Drosophila melanogaster: one gene and its partner. The protein of the gene in region 1 interacts with the protein of each later gene in a pairwise test. Each region holds a gene or a part of one and is shown in the gene's direction. Other genes may lie near its edges.

Region 1 (5,096 bases):
GGATACTTCTTCTAAATATGAGGATGCTTCTTCTAAAGATGAGGATGCTTCTTCCAAAGATGAGAATACTTCTTCTAAAGATGAGGATGCTCCGTCTAAAGATGAGGATACTTCTTCTAAAGATGAGGATGCTTCTTCTGAATATGAAGAGGTCACTAGGGAGGCATCGAACGCTTTCAATTTCGTCATAAAGAAGGTTGAATCTTTAAAAGAGTTTTACGATGCCCCAAGGGAACTCATCCAAGAACCCAAAGTCGGAAAGTCCGATCAGAATTGGGATTTAATTCTTCGAACTGTGCTGGAAGATATCAAAGCCGTACTGATTTACTCAACTGAACGCATCGAAAAAGCGATCCAGAGCTATATCAATAAGTTAGCGCAAAAATAATTTGGAAACGATCTCATTCTAAATGGTGCTACAAGCAAAACTTCACACTTAGTACATACGTTTTTTTTTTTTGTTTTTTTTTTTTTTTTTTAGATAAAAACAAGTCCTTAGTGATAAAAGGATAAAATACATGATTCCATTTGTTGATTAGGTATTCGTACCTAAGTCCATCGAACAGCAATCAAATGAAACAAAGAACTGTATAGTGTTGTAGATATTAAAAAGACGTCTTATCAAACACCCTCAGTACACGTACACAAACAAGTTGACAAACACAAATCCTCAGTGATAAAAGGATAAAGACATGATTCCATTTGTTGATTAGGTATTCGTACCTAAGTCCATCGAACAGCAATCAAATGAAACAAAACAATGTATAGTGTTGTAGATTTTAAAACGTCTTACCAAAACACCCTCAGTACACAAACAAGTTGAGTTCCATTGCATAGAAGCAGCAACTAACTCCTATCTCTATGGAACATATCGAATAATATTAAAATTTGTCAAAATGATTGCCCGGAAATTTTCTGGTCAATTATCGACCGATTAGTCAGGGCTTTCCAGCGGTTATAACCTCCTGATCAATGCATTTTATGTTAAATATTTTTTGGCACGATTACTAATAAAATTGATAAAAAAAGAAACGTTTGCAGTTTGAATAAATAATCTTTAAAGTTTGCCTTATCCCATTTGCTTTAGAAGCTTTCAGCCTTTTCAGGCTGATCTAGGATTACAACAGAAGGATGAAAGACAGCTAGACGAGGCTAGTTTTGGATCCTGAGTAATGCTTTCCTGAACCCTGAATTCCCACAATAATGTGTTGTTCCCATCGGTGGGTCACAACTATAACTGATCTACACATTTAGGATCTTATAATATATAATATAATATAAATACATGTCTATAAATACAACCGCGTGGATTAGTTAATTGAAATACGCACAGGCATTCTATCCATGCATTTCCCTGCAGAAAAAGTATTTCAGCATTGATCGTTTTAAGGAAAGCCCTGCGGTTACCTATTATACGTCCAGCCTACGCTCAGACTCTGTTGATGTGGCGTGAACACATAAAGGTTTAGGTACTACTTGTTTCATATTATAATAATATAATAACATTATAATATATAATATAATGCTGTTATAAAGTATATTTGATTTATACTTCTAATGGTTAGTTCAAATAGGTATAGAGTTACATCCCATTTTTGTTGGGAATCTTTATACATCACCATCGTTACCGCCAAAGAACAATCGATAGATTGGTAAGAATTCGATACCTAGACGGTACTATCGATTCTTTTTCATCTCTACGGCGTGCGTCAGTGATGTTTCTTTCCTTTGATTTCTGATCCTTCTAAACGTAACTTCAAAATGCTATTGAAAGTAGTGAATATAAATGGCTTGCAGCACCTGTTCGCCTGCACTGAGGGGCAGCATGATGAAACCCTAACTATTCACGTTTTCCGTCCTCGCGAGAAGTGGACTTACTCCGAGACTTTGATGAAACGCGATTACCAGCAGCGTTTGAAAGTAAGTTTTCCGCATTTTCATGTGGTGAAATAGTGTGAGTGCAACACGTTTTTTCGACCAGACGCTCAACGCGCGTGTGAAGTTTCCCGAGGAATTGGTGCGCCAGGTCCTGCTCAACAAGGATCCATTGCATGTCGAACAGGATTACCAGCACCCATTGAACGTCCTGAAACTGAAGTATGCCATGGCGAATTTCAAAGTTTTCCTCAAGTGGGAATGGCACCTGAGACCCATGGATGCCGCACAGGTCAGTAACTGACTTTAGCAGAATCAGTTCCAAGAACTATAATAATTAGTGCCATTATTCCCAAAGTTGTATAGCCAAATGTTCTTGAACACAATGTCCACGGCTTTGGGACTACGGGCTCAGATACCCCTTCTGCTAGGGATTATCCATGCCAAGGACAAGGAGCTGAACCAGTATCGCACCGAGGGATGCCAGCTGCGCAGAGGTTAGTTAAGAACAAGTTTGCAAATCGAAAGTTCTTGTGCATTCCATTCGCTTAGTTAGTAATCGCAAAACCTTATGCCTTCTTTAGTGACCGTGGAAACCCAGCCCTTTGATCTCGAGGCTTTTATGAATGAGCACAAGCAATTGCTGGACTGTTCCGCTGCCTACCAGAAGGCGCAGAGTACTTTTTTTGCTGATAAGCCATCGCCTAATTGGACATCGCTTTCTTCGCCATGGGCACGGGATGTCGCGCCCTATTCTTCGTCAAACGGCTACTTTGCTTCTTCGAAGGCATCAAGCCCAAAAGAAGCTCCTCGCATTAGGTGGGATTGGTACAATGTGTTCACATTTACCGATTAATAAGATATGTTTTCGCAATTGCAGGAAGCGCAAGGCTCTTGAAATCAATACCAATCATATGGAGCGCAAGGTAATGCAGCGCCGCTCCAATCCGCTTGTCGAGTACAAAAGCTCGCAGAGTTCCCAAGAGACAAACGTAAATGTAATCTTAAAAGTAGAGCTAGCGCCAATGGACACCAAGAATGATCTCACTGATGATGACGAAGAGTCATCCACATCTTCGGGGCTTTCCCAAGGATGGTCTGGCCGACAACTAACCAAATTTAATCCAACCGTCGGAAATGGTGTATATGAACTTGCATCTCAGGAACAGTATGCTTCTTCTGAAGATGAGGATGCTTCTTCTAAAGATGCGTATACTTCTTCTAAATATGAGGATGCTTCTTCTAAAGATGAGGATGCTTCTTCTAAAGATGATGATGCCTCTAAATATGAGGATGCTTCTTTTAATGATGAGAATTCTTCTTCTGATGATGAGGAGGTCACTAGGGAGGCATCGAACGCTTTGGATTCTATTAATGATTTTTACGATTACCCCCCGGCATTCACTCAAGAACCCGAAGTCGGAATATCCGAGGGGAATTTGGATGTAATTCATCAAATTGAGCTGGAAGAGATCAAAGCCGCACTGATTTACTCAACTGGTCGCGTCGCAGAAGCGATCAATAATCTAGAGAAAAAATAATTTGGAAACGATCTCAGTCTAAATGGTGCTACAAGCAAAACCTTAGCCTTAGTACATACGTTTTTTTTTTTTTTTTTTTTTGAGATAAAAACAAATCCTCAGTGATACAAGGATAAAAGACATGATTCCATTTGTTGATTAGGTATTCGTACCTAAGTCCATCGAACAGCAATCAAATGAAACAAAACAATGTATAGTGTTGTAGATTTTAAAACGACATCTTACCAAAACACCCTCAGTACACAAACAAGTTGAATTCTACTGCATACAAGCAGCAACTAACTCCTATCTCTATGGAACATATCGACTGATATTAAAATGCGTCCGATTAGTCACGGCTTTCCAACGGTTATAGCCTCCTGATCAATGCATTTTATGCTAAATGTTTTTTGTTAAATATTTTTTTGGCGTAATTACTAATAAAATTGAATAAAACAAAACAAGACACCCCATTTACAATTAGAATAAATAACCTTTAAAGTTTGTCTAATCCCAGCCAATCAACCAGTTACTGTGGTGTTCTGGCGTTACCAAATCCATTCCCTTTGGTGCCATTGAAATCAAAAACGAATTTTGCTTTGATTTGCCATTTGTTTACTTTTATGGCAGCCGATTCGAGCCATCGAGCTGTTGTCAATGTGGAGCTTTGGGGCTTTGGCAACATTCAATTTACGCACATTTGGCGATAAGATAAGCTAAAGGCAAACCACAAATAATATCAACTGGCCATGTGTCGGGATGGCTCATTGCGGTGGCTCTATTCAAGAAATTCGGTCGATAGTCAGTCACCTGTATCATTTCGAAATCCCATACTGCCAAGTTACTCAAGAGAGATGGCTAAAGTCTGGGCCATACTGGCCATAGCGCTATTTCTAGGAGCACTGGCCTCCGGCGAAAGTGAGTCACAGTTTGATCGCAATCAATCCAAATTACAGCCGAATAGTGATACGAAAGTATAGATTGTATTTACCTCAACAGAACGAACCAGTAAACGAATTATGGTCGTTTCGTTAAAAGTTATGTGAAAATCGAAGCCTAAAACTATTCAAGTTGGGTAAACCCCAACACTTCACACACAGAAGTTATCAATTTGCTCACATTTTTGTTTTGCTTTTTGTTGTGATAAATGGTTTGCAAAAGTGTTTGGTTATTACCCAAGATAAAAGAAACATATCATATTCCAATGTGTAAAAGAAACAATCAATAAGTGGTCAAATTCAACTGCTTTCGGATTTAAAAAAAAATTAAGTTTCAAAATGTTCAAAACAGCATTATAAATATGCCAAATTGGTATATGGTTATGGTAATTACCTTTTTCGATTTACTGGATATTTCCATCGCCATTATTGTAGAACAAAAGAACATTTTTTTCTATGACACTGACTAATTTTCGGAATTATCCAATTTCAAAAGGAGTGGCAATCACTTTACGTTCGATTAGATTGTCTTGTTTTTCCATACCGCCGAAGCGTTATGAACCGCTCACCATAAACTTTTAAAGTACTTTTTTGTTAAGACAACAATGCTAGGCTATCTCATCGCCCAAGATAAACATATTTATTATAGGTAGTTGACGAGTCAGTAAGGTTAATCAATGTCAATTGATGTTTATCATGGCCATCAGACCGATATTTAATCGTACATTAAATACCTATTTGGCTATATCTATTTCAGGTCTTT
Region 2 (4,224 bases), on another chromosome or scaffold:
CATCGCCAGAAAGATACAGATGGGACCATAAATATGATTCCGGTCCGGAGTGGATTGGCTAGGGAAATTTATAGAGTCTGTTGCTGGGGCTGTCAGGTGAAATAAATAATAAATTCGTTATTTTTCGAGGCTCGGCCAACCGAGTCCGCGGCGTTGGCTATCAACAGTGCAGAACAGCAACGACAATAACTCCAGGGGCGTATGATGGGGGCACGCCCACATTCGGCAGCCCCAAACATCGAGCACATTTTGCCGGTGCCCCAACATCGAACGTCGTGCTCCCTGCACAGCTGCAAATCGCACTCGGACATCGTGGGGGCCCGATGGGGAAACAAATTTGAATTCAATGAAAGATGAAATCATTAAGTTTTCAGGCAATTGAAGGCGGCTGCAAATGCGGTTGGCTTTAATCGTGCTGGAGTCGCACAATGGGACTCGGATCGGATCGCATTGGGTTGGGCTTGGTCCGGAGGAGGCGATGAGATTATGACACCGGCCAGACATTCACCGAAAAACGCTGAGGAGGAAGTGGAGTCGCCGAATCAAGAACTCAATTAGGGAATGCCTAAAGTTGCCGAAAAGAGCCATTGACTAATTCGAAATGAAATGGAAGGCTATCCCATTGAAAATTCTGTTTTTAGCTTCCACGCAAATAAGAAAAATGTCAAGATCAATATGATCTTTAATAAATCTATTATTTTAACTTAACTATTTTAGTAATTTTAATAACTATTAGTAATCGAAAAGACATGCTAGCAAAATAAATTACCTACTATCCAAACCCGATGTGCTAGTAAACTGCAAATGGGCCACTTTCATGTCCATGGGAATGGAATTGTCGCCATTTCGTGCACAAGGAAAAAATACGGTGGCTAATGAGAGGCATAATCAACTTCCCATGTTGCATACACAATTGATGCCAATGCCCGGACCATGCCCAATAAATATCAACAGCCACACAAATTTGCCTGTTGGCCAACTGGCAACTTCAAAAAAGTAATAAAAAGCGAAAAACCATAGCCGCGAGCCAGGAGAGCCGACAACAAAAGCGCACATAAATCAACGATCAAGACAATTGCGGTGTAATAATTTTAACTTCTTTAAGTCGGCAGCCAGCCCACACCGCACACCACGGAGCACCACCCGGCTCCACCCGGCAATACCCTGCACCACCGACTCCACTTCAAGTCGATCCGATTCGGCGGGGGCCCATAAAAATAACAGCTTATCGGTAAGAAGAATCGTGTCGTGGCACGCCTACCAACTCAAAAAGGCATTAAAATATGAAAACAACAATTGCACACTCTCTGGCATGGGAGGAGGATGCTGGAGGGGTTGGTATCCACCTCCGGGGGAAATCAACAGCAGTCTGGGAGTCACAGAGTGGCCGACACGCCCCCTTTTCTTCATTGTAGGCGTCAGCCGATGGCAGCGGCACGTTTTCCTCCGTGAAATTCCAAACTAGCCCCAACCACCCGCAGCATCGCAAAGGTGAGTCCAGCCAAGACGCTAAACCAGAGATATATAGGTGTATCAGGAGTTGCCCCTCCGCACCCACTGTCCTTGCCACATCGCTCCATTGTTCAACCACAGGCGAATGAAAGTTGGGGGAGGGATCGGTTTCGTGAGGCAGCGGGCAGTTACAACTTAGTTAGCTCAGCCAGAATTGCAGGAGATATCTCAATTTGGGGCCCATAAAAATAGCGAGTAATAGGCCATGTCCAAAGAGCGAGCCAAACTTATGAAATACGACCAAGCGATACTCTAAAAATACCCTAATCCACTTTACATCAAATTACGTATATGATAGAATAGTTACATCGCTAAAAGGGTCTTTGCTCTTAAGAAATAATTCGAATGGTTATAGCTTACTTCCTTGGGTTCCAATGCACAGCATACTTAGTTACAAACTATGGTGGCGTTGTCATAAAACCGGTAACCGAGTAGTCAGTCTCTTTGCAGTCATAGTATTAAGCACTGAAACTCTTATTTAGAGACAATTGGTCTGACAAGCCCAACACAAGTATCCATAGCCCAAAAAAAAAAACCGAAAACTTAAGCATTTTCGGATCCATTCACATGTTCGAAAGAATCTAAAAGTGGGATAGCAAAATTGACAATGGCAACCAGGCAGCCCACACCCCGCCAGCTGGCATACCTCGACGAGCTGAAGATGCGACTGCAGGAGCTACGCGATCGCCAGGCGTCCTTCATGGAGCAAACGGCCAAGATACTCAGCAGGATGAGCTCCTCCAGTATGGATGGGTCGGAATCCGAGACATTACCAACCGATTCGATCGATGAAAATGTGACAACCAATACTACAGCGGGTGTGGGTGCCGGGATCACCAAGGGTTCCAAGAGCAGTCTTAATATCAAGAAGCTAATTCAGCGCTTTGAAGATCTGCGGAAGAACTCGCAGGTGGGTTTGCATTACCATCAATAATTATTGCTTAATCTTATTACCCTAAACTACTACGTTCATAGCAAAATTTAATTGACAAGTAGTTCATTTAAGTGTTACTTTTGTCATTTGAAAAATTGCAAACCTTTTATATGAGGATATATTGGATTTATACTGACGAACATTTTTGGATTCAGACCTGGATTGTCTTTCAGCGTGAAATACTTAATATTTAAATAAATTGTATATAACCCAAAAATGTTTTATTGGAATGCTGAAAGCGATTAAGGGCTTTAAAGGTTGTGTTCATATGACAGTCGATTGATACAATTGCAACTAAAAAGTGCAGCTCAACAAAATTTTGAAATATTCTTTGCAACTATTTTATGTATTTACTTTTTGTATTGATTTCAGGAGTTTGGCGATCTTCCCGAGGTTCCCGAGGAACTGATCAACGTGGATGTGCGCCGCATTCTCAATGGCTACGAGAAACTCATCGAAGAAGGTCATGTTCTCCAGCAATCCTGGTTTCTGCTCAAGAAGTCCACGGAGAGTTGTGCTCGGTTCGCCAGCGCAAATGGCATGAAATCGGAGGATCGTCCTCCATTGAAGACCAACTCTGGTATCGTTGAGGTATGCAATGTGGTACCAGAACATAGTCCTGAGGTAGCTGAAACACCGCGGGTTAAGAAATCTAAATCGCTGCTCTCGAATATGGTTACTAGTTCGGAGATAGTGGATAAGAAGGCAGAGGTTTTCAGCACCAAGATGGCAAAGGGGAAATGCAATTTCCAGGACTATGGTAAGGGCATCAAAAGACCACGAAAAGAGCAGTCCCATGTAGGTTAATCCAAAGCCTCATCTAAACCCTAGGTCATGCGCGCTGGGGAGCATTTATGCAGTTGATCATACGCGTTCTTCGTCCTTTCCACGGCGGCAGCAGGAAGACAAAGAAAATTCCAGCTCACAACGCCAACAACATGAGGATTCCCAGCCACCTGCCACCGAAGAGGAAGCCCATCTACTAGGCCTTTTCAATAGCCAACCACACACAAAAAACCACAAGTGAAGATCCAAACTAAGCCAAACCAATCCCCCCAAAATCCCACTAAAAATAATCCAATAAAACCGATCCCATTGAAAAGACGCGTTAATCAATAGGCAACACCACACGTCAGCGTGTCAATATTTTGCCTAATTAATGTGGCCCGGCTTGGGCGCAGTGGCGCATCAATTTCGAGTGTCAAGTGCAATGAGGGGGAACGATCGCTCTGTGGGTCCCCTTGGTCCGGATCCGGACCACCATCAGCTAATGTATCTATATGGCCCAAGCCCAAGGCATGACCATAGCCGGGCGACGGCGACGTATGGCAGCAACTGCTGCGCTGACAGCGCATTTTAGTCGCCCATGGAATACCGAAAATAAATCTTGCCCTGTCGTGACACAGAGCGGATGATGCACTGTTCAAAAAAATAACTTAAACTGCATATTAGAACAGAACATAAGCTGTCACTACAGTCACTCTACACATTGTATTGCTAACTTTGGTAAAGTAACTTTAGATGTTATACTTATGGTTATTAGGTATCAATAAGAAATTCGTAAAATTAATATATAAAGCTAGAGTGGTTAGCATTATAATTTAAAACATTAATTTCACATGCTTTATATTTTTGCAGTGTACTGAAGGAGTGATACATTGGTTGAGGAGGGTGTAGAAACACTAAAAGCAACGCAGACAAAATACTCGGCCCCACACAACACGCAACACACACGCATAGCGAGAAGTAAACATTTAAATTTAAATTAAGTGGCTTGT

What was found.
Region 2: the proteins of CG32756 (region 1) and CG4218 interact in a two-hybrid assay, tested with the Drosophila melanogaster proteins (one large-scale study listed by BioGRID).

Annotation. Positions count from the first base shown.
Region 1 is NC_004354.4:5,944,000-5,949,095, forward strand, and holds CG32756 (uncharacterized protein), read left to right. Parts: upstream 1-1,682; 5' UTR 1,683-1,761; coding exon 1,762-1,920; intron 1,921-1,981; coding exon 1,982-2,167; intron 2,168-2,233; coding exon 2,234-2,372; intron 2,373-2,459; coding exon 2,460-2,694; intron 2,695-2,755; coding exon 2,756-3,416; 3' UTR 3,417-4,249; coding exon of another isoform or gene 4,250-4,313; 3' UTR 4,314-4,354; downstream 4,355-5,096. Other genes in the region: CG12728 (uncharacterized protein), read left to right, coding at 1-388; CG6041 (uncharacterized protein), read left to right, coding at 4,250-4,313, 5,091-5,096.
Region 2 is NT_033779.5:14,546,849-14,551,072, reverse strand, and holds CG4218 (uncharacterized protein), read left to right. Parts: upstream 1-1,963; 5' UTR 1,964-2,119; coding exon 2,120-2,422; intron 2,423-2,487; coding exon of another isoform or gene 2,488-2,508; exon of another isoform or gene 2,509-2,658; intron 2,659-2,818; coding exon 2,819-3,206; intron 3,207-3,260; coding exon of another isoform or gene 3,261-3,277; coding exon 3,278-3,432; 3' UTR 3,433-3,575; downstream 3,576-4,224.